Canis lupus familiaris: one gene and its partners. Each later gene encodes a partner of the first gene's protein in a complex. Links are inferred from orthologs where the notes say so. Each region holds a gene or a part of one and is shown in the gene's direction. Other genes may lie near its edges.

Region 1 (4,415 bases):
AGCCACCAACTGAGAAGCCAAATGGACCTCAATTTCCTTACCCACAAAATGGTATGATAATAGAACCTCCCTTTAATTCAACCAATATTTATTAATCACCCACTGTGTGCCAGGCCCCATTCTAGGATTAAGTGAGAAAATGCAAAATGGCAAATTCACTTCCCCACTCCCTTAATCTCTTGCATTTATTTGTAAGAGACAGTGGATCTCTAAAAAAAAAAAAAAAAAAGAAAGAAAGAAAAAGAACCTGATGTTAGGAAACTCGCGTACAATTCGCACAACATTTTGCATTTACTTTCAGGGAATTCATAAACCTTCTAACATCCACATATTGACCTCTGTTATGTTAAAAAGTATTGCAAAAAGACCTGGTACACCTTGCTCTCACTGTGGAAACCTCGGCGGGCCTTCACAGGTACTCCTAACAGCCGCGACGAGGGTACTATTTTTACAAACAACTAAAATCGAAAACTGACATACCTAATCACTTTAGTTTCGCAGACAGTAGCCCAGGATAAGAACTTCACATCTCATGCCTCGAAGTCTAGTGCTTTTCCAACTGTGAAAACAGAAGGCGCCTCTATTCCGGGCTAGACTAAAGTAGAAGTAAAGTTGGATTTCTTGGACTTCTTTCCTAGAAAGAAGGTGCATTAGAGGCCGGCAATTAGGAGCGGCTCGGGGGGGGGGGGGGGGGGCTACTTGGGCAGGAGCGCAGGCCTCTTACAAAAAGCGACCTAGAGAAGTCTCTGGACTCAACTGCTACATCCGTAAAATGGGGCAGTAACTTCTGTCCCGCCTTCCCTGCGGCGCTTGGTTCGCGGTGGCTCAAAGGAGGGAAAGACGCAAAAGCTCCACAAGGGCAAAGCAGACAGGCGGCCCAGTTAAGACCACTTCTGAGAACCTCAGGCCGCTGAGGACGGGAACGCTCACGCGTCTCTAAGGTTGGCTTCCGGTGCCTCAACTGCACTCTCAGGCCCTGGGGGAGTGGGAAGCCCTTTATAAATCGGGATGTGGAAAAGAATGCTCCTAATGGCCTTGGGACAGGGCCTGGCAGTCAGCAGCGCGCAGTGGATATCCGCTGGATGAATCAATGACGGAGTCCCCAGAGAAGAACTTCTCCAGTCTCCGCGGCTCCGACCCCCGTCCCGCCCGGGACTGCCACTCACCGGGCACCGAAGCCCTCCGCTCCCACCGTCTCCGCTCCGGGAGTTCGTCGGGCCGCAGCGACTCCAGCCTGCGCCAGCTGGACTGCTCTCAAAGCCACGCGCCGCACCGGAGCCCAAGCAGGTTGAAAATGAACCTCGCTAGGCAAGGTGGAGAAAAGAAAATTTCGCGCCAAAAGCCATGGCCCCGCCCCCAGGCTGCCCCACGTTGCGTCACCAGCCAGCCCTCTAGCCCCGCCCACCTACGCGAGGCGCGCGCCGTACGTCCGCCAACGTGCCGCGGCCATCATTGATTCGGTGGGCGACGCTGCTGGCGGAAGGAAGTTCTTTCCTTCGAAGCATTTCCGCTTCCAGATGGTGGTCTGAGTTGCTTAGGCTCCCTCCGCCTTTCTTGGTCTCTCTCCGGTTCGCCTTAACCTGGATGTGACGCATTAAAGGACCCGACGGAAGTAGAACTGAAGGCGTCCTAAGATGGCGAACCGTACGGTGAAGGATGCGCACAGCATCCACGGCACCAATCCTCAGTATCTGGTGGAGAAGATCATTCGGACGCGAATCTACGAGTCCAAGTACTGGAAAGAGGAGTGCTTCGGGCTGACGGGTGAGCGGGCGCGCGCGGACCCTCCTCCACCCTGGTGGCCCCGTTCCGCGGACGGGGCGCGGGGTACCGGCCCCGGCGGGAGACTGGAGCGGAGTCTGTCAGTCACACAGAAAAATCTAGCACCTGCTGTGTGCCTGGATCGATGTTGGTTGGGCTTTGGGGACACGTGTGAGTCTGCTGCGGCCTGATTCTGAGGGTGTCTGTTGGGTTCTCTGCGTCTATTCATATTTAACGATAATCTCCCGAGTTCTCAAACCCTCTTAAACTCGGAGACTCTGAAGTCCTTAAAGGAACCTTAACATACCTGAAGCCCAGTTCCTGGTCTTTCGTTCTCTAAATCTGCACGATAAAAATAAATAAATAAAAAAAATAAATCTGCACGATGTGCAGTTATTTCCACGTTCGGGTCCTAATAGAAACCTTAGTTCTTCCGAGAAGGCTTCCAAGCCTTGCAGTCTTCGAATTCTGGCTCCTGATTTTAGTAGCTCTGCTTTGCCGGTGAACGATGTATGCCTTCTTCTGCTGTAGAACGGGTATCTTGCCCACCTCAACGATTCTAAGGAGTAAAACGCGTCATGTATAAGGAGAATTTGGTATGGTTACTGGTGTGTATTTTAAGAAGCACCCAGCACTACTCTGTGCCATCACTGTCGCTGCCACGACCGCTGTGTGTCCCTGGACGTGTCACATCGTTTTTCTGAGTCACCGTTAAATTTTGGAGTTATGTGAATTTTGGGTGAATTTTGAGGCCTTTTCTCACTGCAGGTTCTCTCCTTGTATGATCTTACCTGTAGATGCCTTCAAATTTCTCTCTTCAGCCCAGATCGCCCTCTGAGATCTCAATCTCTAATTAAACAATCAGGCCAACTCAGTATGTCCAAAAGTGAACGTGTGACCTTTTTCCTCCAATGCTAGATTATGTTCCCTTGTTGTATAATTGTATTGCATCCTGCATCTTATTTTAACTATTTGTCGCATTTCAATTATTTTTCCAATGCTTTCTGCCTTGCCAGACTGTAAACTCTGTAAGAGTAGTAATTTTGTTCTTCTTTATCATTCTACCTATATCTCTAGTATTTAGTACCTGGCTGTAAGTGTCAACTGTAATGTTGAATGAATTAATAAGAATTTATCTTAAAGGAACTTGAAATCTGATTTATAAAATGATTTTCCACTAATGGAATCTCTCATACATTATTTGCTGTGTAACATGTAGATGTTAACATTTATTTGTACTGTCTCATTTAACACTCACTATAGCCCTTAAACTTTTACCTTTACTGTTCAGATTTGAACTGACAGTCAAAAAGAAAAAAAGGTAAAAAGACTTGCCCTAGAGTTCATATAGCTAGTGTTTATTTTTGAAAACAATTGTGGAAGGTTGCTTTTTTTTTTTTTTTTAAGACTATTTGAAAGAGAAAGACCCAGAGAGCACAAGTAGGGAGAGGGGCAGAAAGAGAGGGAGAAGCCGACTCCTGCTCAGCAGGGAGACTGACATGGGACTCAGTCCCAGGACCCTGAGATCATGACCTGAGCTGATGGCAGATGCTTAACTGACTGAGCCACCCAGGCATCCCTTGTAGAAGGTTATTATCCCTATTCTGTGGATGACATTTACTTAAAGTTTTTTTTAAAAATTTTTTTTATTTATTATTTATGATAGTCACAGAGAGAGAGAGGCAGAGACACAGGCAGAGGGAGAAGCAGGCTCCATGCACCGGGAGCCAGACGTGGGATTCGATCCTGGATCTCCAGGATCGTGCCCTGGGCCAAAGGCAGGCGCCAAACCACTGCGCCACCCAGGGATCCCGACATTTACTTAAAGTTATGTAGTTATTGGGTCGTATACTGTTGCTGTTTCTTTTAGCTCCAGATTTGGCTGCTTTTCTCCAGACATAATGGTGATAGACATGGACACTGGAGATAGACTGCTTACATGTAAATCCAGGCCCTGCTACTCTCCGGTGGTGGACATTGAGCAAGTCACTTAACATTTCTTAGCCTTCATTTTCCTTATCTGAAAACAGCCTCTGTGCAGGAATTTCATGGCTTGTTGTGAAGATTAAATGAGATAATATGACATGCTTAGGAGAATACGTGGCATATAGTCATCCTTTCTTGTATATTGGCTGCTGTTATTATTATTACTATTAATACACACACTTCTAATATTAAATTGTTGATTAGTATTGAGGAGCACCAAACCTTGAACTAACTTATCTCCATTTCAGACTGGGAAGAGCTTGGCCCTAAATTATCTGAGATGCCACTTTGTTTTTGTTTTTGCCTTTGTTTTTTTTTTTTTTTTTAGCTGAACTTGTAGTGGATAAAGCCATGGAGTTGAGGTTTGTGGGCGGTGTCTATGGTGGCAACATAAAGCCAACTCCTTTTCTGTGTTTGACCTTGAAGATGCTTCAAATCCAACCTGAGAAGGATATCATTGTGGAGTTTATAAAAAATGAAGATTTCAAGTGAGTGAAATGTTGACTAGCTAATTTAAAAGCTTCAATTTCAGTGGGCCAGAATTTGGCTTCGGTTAAGAGGAGTGAAAGCAGTGTATCTTGTTTCAACAGAGTTCTACTCTAGGATTTTGGCTCCTGAGGTCTCCAGTGTGTATTTTGTCTGTTCTGATTGTATTGATCTTCTTTACA
Region 2 (3,646 bases), on another chromosome or scaffold:
AGTTGTGCAGCAATAGAGGCTCATGCATTTCTGGGGATACAGACTGTTAGAATTTCCTTGTAAGGTAATTTGGTAATATTTGTCAGTATTTCGAATGTATGAGTCCATCAATCCAGCAATTTCACTTCTAGGGATTAATCTTAAAGATATAGTCATACAGGGACACCCTAGGTGGCTCAGTGGTCTGCCTTTGGTTCAGGTCGTGTTCCCGGGGTCCTGGGATCAAGTCCTGCATCAGGCTCCCCACAGGGAGCCCGCTTCTCCCTCTGCCTGTGTCTGTACCTCTCTGTGACTCTCATGTATAAGTAAATAAGGTCCTAAAAAAAAAAAAATATATATATAAATATATAGTCATACATGTATAAATGATCTATATAGGAGGGGTTTTATTTCTCTCTCTTCTTTTTAAGTTTATTGGGGCACTTGGGTGGCTCAGTCATTAAGTGTCCAATTCTTGATCTCAGCTTAGATCTTGATCTCAGGGTCATGAGTTCAAGCCCTGTGTTGGGCTCCATGCTGGGCATGGAACCTACTTAAAATTAAAGGGACACCCGGGTGGCTCAGCGGTTGGGCATCTGCCTTCGGCTCGGGATGTCATCCTGGGTTGGGGGATCGAGTCTTGCATTGGGCTTCCTGCGAGAAGCCTGCTTCTTTTCCCTCTACCTATGTCTCTGCTTCTCTGTGTCTCTCATGAATAAATAAAATCTTACCAAAAAAATGACAGTTTTTTTTCTTTCTTAATCTCTACACCTCGTCTGTGATCAAACTCACCACCCTGAGATCAAGAGTTGCACACTCCTCCAACTGAGCCAGCCAGGTGCCCCAATTGAGAGATTTTCTTTGCAGCAGTATTCATAATAGTGAGATTGGGAACCTAAATGATTATCAGTAGGGTATTGGCTAAATTCAGTGAAGTACTCCATGGCTGGAAAACGAAAATGAGAAAGCTCTTTGTTGCTATCTTCAAAGTAAAGTAATAAAAAGTAAGTTGCAGGATAATATGAGGGAGCCTATAATATGTAGTATTCAAGCACTAGTTAAAAAGTATTAGTGTTAACATATTTTTGTGAAAATATCTGGAAGGACATATAACTAAATAAAATTGATTTTCTTGGGGAGGAGAACTGAATGGCTAGGGAATGGATAGAAGGAGCTTTTTGCTGTGTTTTTAAAGAATTCTCAACCATGTGTGTATAGCCTATGCAATCATAGGTACATGTAGAGCTCCTTAGTTTCTGTGACAGTAAAGGTAAATAGAGTTCTATTAATGGTACAGCGCCTGGGGGCGTTCAATTGGTTAAGTTTGCCTACTGCTCAGGTCGAGATCCAGGGTGCTGGGCTCAATCCCAAGATCAGCTCAGTGGGGAACCTGCTTTTCCCTCTTTCCTCTGCCTGTGTTCATGGGCATGTGTGTGCGTGCATGCATGTGTACGCTCTCTGTCAAGTAAATCTTTTTTTTTTTTTTTAAAGATTTTATTTATTTATTCATGACAGAGAGAGAGAGGCAGAGACACAGGCAGAGGGAGAAGCAGGCTCCATGCCAGGAGCCCGATGTGGGACTCGATCCCAGGTCTCCAGGATCTCGCCCCAGACCGAAGGCGGGGCTAAACCTCCGGGCCACCGGGGCTGCCCTATGTCAAGTAAATCATAAAGAATGAATACTGGTACAAATCCTAAGATTTTACCGCTTGTTATTAATTTGACAGGTGATTTAATTTCTTAATTTTTTCATCTATATAATTAGTATAATAATGAGTTATTTATAGGTTCCTTGAGGGAATAGAGGCAAAGTATACAGCATAGTCCCTGGTATATAGAATACTTCCTAGTTATAAATCTGTTGTTAGTCAGTAAGCCTTACTCTGGGTTCTGCCTTCACCCTGAAGTTCCTATATAGAAACATCTGTTGGACGCCTGGGTTGCTCAGTGGTTGAGTGTCTGCCTTTGGCTTGGGTTGTGATCCTGGAGTTCTGGGATCCGGTCCCTCAACGGGCTCCTTGTGGGGAGCCTGCTTCTCCCTTTGCCTGTGTCTGCCTCTCTCTGTGTCTCTTGTGAATGAATGAATGAATAAATAAATAAATCTTAAAAAAATAATTGTTAAAGTAAGTTTCTCGGCTGATATTTTTCTGCTTTTAGGTCCTCTTAGCTTATTTTGACTCAATATAACTGAGGCCTGATTGTGGAGTTGTGAGTACCTCGGTGCTGCTCCCATCATGTTTCTATACAACTTGACCTTGCAGCGAGCCACAGGCATCAGCTTTGCCATTCATGGCAACTTTTCTGGTAAGATTTCTAGTTACTGTCTTTCTGAATTAAACATGTTCAAGATTAAATAGTTTCATGCTTCAGATTCCATTTCCAAATTCAAACTTTTTTCCTGAAATAAATTATAGAGAAAGTATCTTAATTCATCAGACAACATCATTTATATAATGCTTTACAGTCTCCAAAGCCATTTGAAGTACTTGATCTTATTTGATTCTGAGGGGACCATTGGGAAGGTGACCTGATAAGTAGTGGCCTTGAGCAAGTGAGAATGGATTGGGATGGATAAGAGTGGGATATCTGATAGGCTTGGAAGGCATTTAGACATTAGGTAGTAAAGACCTGTACTAGGAAAGTGGGGACAGATCGAGAAGAATATGAATTTCCAGCCTGGGCAGCAGAGAAAATGATAGTAACATTGATAGCAGGTTAGTTGGGACTAGAGAGGGAGTTTGGGAAGAAGGAATTTAGTTATTTTAAACCAGTTAAAAGTCGATGATGACAACATATCCAAGTGGAATTATGTAGCAAACAGGGAGAGATGGGGGAAAATTGGCTATTAAGCATTTAGAAGTATCAATAATGGTTATGAAGGCAAGTGAACTTTCTTAGGACTGACTTTAGAAGTAAATTATATATTTTACATAACAGCTTTAAAAGTTGTTTGAAATAATCCATCAAATTGCACAAAAAGTTAAAATGATTTTCTAGAACAATAGCCTTAAAGATGAGCTAGAAAGAGCCTTTGGAAATACTTAATTTTACGAAGCTAAACATTATATGTTAATACCATTTGTATACATCTCCTAATTATGCGGATTAATGACATTTTAGAAAAACTAAATGTTTTTTAAAGAACTATGTTGACCATTTTTAAAAGTTTTTTCTTTGATACCACTTTTGTTAAATCCTATCAATCGTGGGAATGAAATAGAATAAGAAAATTTAAAATACTGAGCCCCCGACTTACTTACATTTATTTTGAGGGGCATTTTGATCCATCCAGGTTATTTTTGACTAGTTCTGATTGTTCGTGATCTTTATTGTTTTGGTAATCTAGGAACCAAACAACAGGAAATTGTTGTTTCCCGTGGGAAGATACTGGAGCTGCTTCGCCCTGACCCCAACACTGGCAAAGTACATACTCTGCTAACTGTGGAAGTATTTGGTGTTATCAGATCACTCATGGCCTTTAGGCTAACGGGTGGCACCAAAGACTACATTGTGGTTGGCAGTGACTCAGGTCGGATAGTTATCCTGGAATACCAGCCATCTAAGAATATGTTTGAGAAAATTCACCAAGAAACCTTTGGCAAGAGTGGATGCCGCCGCATTGTTCCTGGACAGTTCTTAGCTGTGGATCCCAAAGGGCGAGCTGTTA
Region 3 (4,157 bases), on another chromosome or scaffold:
ACAGGTGCTGAGATGGTTGCTTTGAGCAAGGCTCTAGGAAGGTTGCCCCAGGCTGGGACCATTGAGATAAGAAGTCAGATACGTGGCCTTCCATTGTGGCTTCTGAACCAGATTCTGGGAAATTTGTCCACAACCTGCCCTTGGCTTGTCCAGGGAGTATTGGGAGATAGCAAGGAAGGGGCAAATGGCTGCCTTCTCCTTTTGAGGACAGAGATGCTATCCTAAGGGCATAGGAGTGCTCATGGTTGTGGCATCTCTAGCTCAACTGCTGTTAGTAGAGTGAGGCTGTCTGTTTAGTAATTTTGAATGTTGAATTTAATAGGTGACTTGACAAGATGGTCTAATCTTTTGAGATTTTGGAGACCATTTCCTGTGCCAGAATTACTGCTCGACTATGTTCCATGTTGTCCTATGGAGGTGGCTGTTCTAGAAATGATTGGATAATAAATAAAATACTAAATGTAGTAGTTTGAGTGATTTGTTATCAAGAGATTGGTTTGCATAGGCCATAGAAAACCCTCAAGTGTACACTGCACAATTCTGAGAACTAGGAGCAACCTCCCTGGGGTGATGCTTCTGGATTCAGTGAAGGAAACAGTCAGTTTTCCAGTGCCCCCACTCCACCCCCCATCAACTTGGAAATACAGTCACGTCTAAATGAACATAGTGAGATGCATGCCAGAGTTCACCCTACAGCGTTGCTGATGACTGGCCTTTCCAAGTCCCATCATGTTGATTAAATTGTGCCCTATTGATTGAATGATTATAAAGTTCCTCAGTTGAAAGAAAAATGATTTAACCGAATGATGATAGCATTGCTTCAAAATAAAGAGTGTGCAAAAATTGCTTTCTATATATGCGCTGGAAAGGCTGCAACTTAGAGACACTGGGTGTCGCGGGCCATATCTTTAGTGCATACAGGTAAATAGGGCAGCTAGAGGCTCCTAATAATTCCTTCAGCCTTAAAAATTAGAAACTTGGCAAACGGATGCACAGTTGCTTAAGACTAGATCAAAGGGCCCTGATCCAAATTGCTTCCTTGTTTATAAAATAGACCAGTTGAATTAAATCAGATGATTGTTTAGAAAACCAAGGCAAAAGACATTAGTACGCGCCCTTACTTCCGTATTGCTTCATGCTCTCCATGCGCATGCACCATTTCCGTGGGTCAGAGGAGGGGCCGACGACCCTGTTTTAGAAGTCCTTAGCTCGTTTAGAACGCGAAACTCTAAGCTTATTGGAGGGCAAGCTTGCTTTACGGCTCAGGGCCGCTTTTTACGTCATTTTCCGGCTTCCCATTCACTTCGCAGTGAAGATGGCGTCGGGCAGCGGGGTAGGTGTTGTGTGTGAGGAGGCTTTGGTCGGGGGGCAGAGGGTGCCTTCGTAGCGCGGAATATCCTGCACCCAACTGGCTTCTCGACACCTCCTTGCGGCCCAATGGTCCGAGTTCAAGAGCCTCCTCGTAGGGTCCTGGCACAGGGTCTGTGGAATCGCGGAGAACTCTTGGGTTGGGGTCCTGAGGCCACCTCAGCCTTCTGGTGCGGTGTGGAGAGTCTTCGCTCTCGACAGGTCCGGGGGGTCGCCTTGCCGGCGTGGACGCGGTTCCCTCCGTTTCTCTAGGGTTCCGATATGATTAGCGACGAATCTTGAGCGCTTTTTTCCCTACAGACAAAAAACTTGGACTTTCGCCGAAAGTGGGACAAAGATGAATATGAGAAGCTCGCCGAGAAGAGGCTCACGGAAGAGAGAGAAAAGAAGGATGGTGGGTGCCTACTCCCTAAAGGGCAGAGGTATCGTAGAGGTGAAGCCATAGCTGGAGAGCGGGTGGGGAGTTGAAATGCGATGTCCTGGTTGGTACCTTGTGTAACCTCTGGCTGAATGTTGCCTCCCTGGTTCTCCATTTCTTACTGTATAAAATGGGAGGAAAGAGATGGACTGAATATACTCAGAGGTATTTCCCAGCTCTGTTTCCTGTGCTTTCTTGCCTTCTTTTTGCTTAGCTCGTTTTGTACTTTCTTCAAGTGCAGAGAAGAGAGGAGAAGCCTTAGTAGTGACAGAGATGTGGAGTATTTTGCTGCTATGCACTACTCCTATTGAGGAAACTCTTTCCGTTGAAGTCACTTAAGGGGAAGAATATAACTGGTCCAATCAAGTCCTTCCCCTGTGGTCTGAGAAGAGTGAGGGTACTGGGAGGAATGTGTGATTGTTTCAGCTGGTGGTTAGTAGTACTGTTTCTCTGCTTTGTACAATGTTACGGAGTTGATTCTCCTCTCCTAGTTAGAGAATCCATTATACAAAAAGAATCCTTATTTTTTCTTATGCTTTCACTTTACTTTCACACCACCTTGCACAAACTGATCTTTTTAGTTTTGATCTAATTTGTACAGTAGCAAGTAACAGATATTGCCTGAATGTTGGTCCCATTTAGAAAATCTTCCCCAGCCTTCTAGAGATTCTTTTTTGTGTGTTACACTTGGGGTATCTGTCTGAAAGTATTACTGAGTGTCCTTGCTTTTCTTTTAAAAGTTTACTCTTTGTGAAAATTAATTCCTTTCTTCAATTCAGTTAACAATAAAAAACTTTGTTTTTAGACTTATTGGCTTTGAAGTGGAAAAAAGCTATGTAGAGTTTAGGGATTGCATATCATTTTTTCCTGTGTTGAGATTCTCCCTAGTTGCTGCTACAAGTGCTTTTTGTGCCCCCTGCTTCAGGCTTAAGAAAGAAATGAAGAGTAGACATCTGTGTATTGGGTTTCATGCATTTCTTTTCGTTTCTGCTTAAGGAACTCTAATAATAAAAGGACTTTCTTCTGTCTTATATTTTAGGAAAACCAGTACAGCCAGTCAAACGGGAGCTTCTCCGGCATAGGGACTATAAAGTGGACCTGGAATCCAAGCTTGGGAAGACAATTGTCATTACCAAGACCACGCCACAATCTGAGATGGGAGGGTGAGTGACTTTTCATCTTTTTCAGGAGCCAAGACTAGGTCTAATAAACTGTGTTGATTTTAGCAAGTGTCGAGGAGAGGTTCTCTGGCTCCAGGATAGCAATCATGTTACTTATAATTCTATCTTTATTTTTATTTATTTTTTTAATAGTCCTACCTTTAGATATTTCTTTGTGTCACTCCTGTTCCAGGCCTCAACTAAACATGGTAGTGTCTCTAGGAGGAGTTACTCTGTAGACCTCTTCATATTGGCACTGTAACTCTTTCTTAATATCTGAAGAGGAAGAAATGAAGGAAAGGACTCCTGAAAACATTTCTAGGGGAGAGATTTCTCGAGCTAGAATGGAGCCTAGAAGCTGTTGATGGTGAATAAAGGGAGTTGAGGTTCCAGACTGGCTGCAAAGGTTGTAGTTGTTACGGATTGCTTGGTTGTACACTTTCCTCCTAGACCAAGACTATGACCCATGAGAAGAGGTGTCCTGTAAGGACTTTTGTTTTTGCCCACCACTACTACAGTATTCATTTACGTTTTCTAGCAGGAGAGCAAAACAGATAGCAATGAGTGACATGTCTGAATTGCTTAGAAAACTTACATCAGGGATCCCTGGGTGGCTCAGTGGTTTGGCGCCTGCCTTTGGCCCAGGGCATGATCTTGGGGTCCTAGGATCAGGTCCCATGTCGGGTTCCCTGCATGGAGCCTCCTTCTCCCTCTGCCTGTGTCTGCCCCTCTCTCCCCCCCTCCCTGTTTCTCATAAATAAATAAATAAAATCTTAAAAAAAAAAAACACCTCACATCATTCTTTTCTGTATTAGTTACCTATTCCTGTGTAAATTAACTAACTCACCAAAATTTAGCAGCATAAAACAGATAGCTAACAATTTGGGTAAGTAATCTGGAAAGGCTTAGGGTTTCACAAAGCTGCAATGAAGGTGTCTGCTGGGTCTGCATTCATATGAGGCTTAAGTGGGGCTGAATGATTTGATTGAAAGCTCTTTCATGTAGTGCTTTGGAGGCCTCACTTCTTTGCCCCATGGGCCTCTAGTGCTGTTGACAATAAAGCAAGTGGCTTCCCAAGAGTAAGACATGGACAGGCTATTTATTTATTTATTTTAATTTTAATTTTTGTATTTTTTTTTAATTGGAGTTCGATTTGCCAACATATAGTATAACACCCAGTGCTCATCCCGTCAAGTGTCCCCCATAATGCT

The links.
Region 2: PRPF38A (region 1) and SF3B3 share a complex: the UniProt entries of both Homo sapiens proteins name them as parts of the spliceosome B complex. The link is inferred for Canis lupus familiaris from reciprocal best matches to the Homo sapiens genes PRPF38A and SF3B3.
Region 3: PRPF38A (region 1) and ZMAT2 share a complex: the UniProt entries of both Homo sapiens proteins name them as parts of the spliceosome B complex. The link is inferred for Canis lupus familiaris from reciprocal best matches to the Homo sapiens genes PRPF38A and ZMAT2.

Annotation. Positions count from the first base shown.
Region 1 is NC_049236.1:9,005,556-9,009,970, reverse strand, and holds the start of PRPF38A (pre-mRNA-splicing factor 38A), read left to right. Parts: upstream 1-1,492; 5' UTR 1,493-1,634; coding exon 1,635-1,764; exon of another isoform or gene 1,765-2,320; intron 2,321-4,075; coding exon 4,076-4,235; intron 4,236-4,415. UniProt on the Homo sapiens protein: Involved in pre-mRNA splicing as a component of the spliceosome.
Region 2 is NC_049226.1:77,067,256-77,070,901, forward strand, and holds part of SF3B3 (splicing factor 3B subunit 3), read left to right. Parts: intron 1-2,136; 5' UTR 2,137-2,213; coding exon 2,214-2,283; intron 2,284-3,325; coding exon 3,326-3,646. UniProt on the Homo sapiens protein: Component of the 17S U2 SnRNP complex of the spliceosome, a large ribonucleoprotein complex that removes introns from transcribed pre-mRNAs.
Region 3 is NC_049223.1:34,979,242-34,983,398, forward strand, and holds the start of ZMAT2 (zinc finger matrin-type protein 2), read left to right. Parts: upstream 1-1,269; 5' UTR 1,270-1,315; coding exon 1,316-1,333; intron 1,334-1,668; coding exon 1,669-1,762; intron 1,763-2,825; coding exon 2,826-2,949; intron 2,950-4,157. UniProt on the Homo sapiens protein: Involved in pre-mRNA splicing as a component of the spliceosome.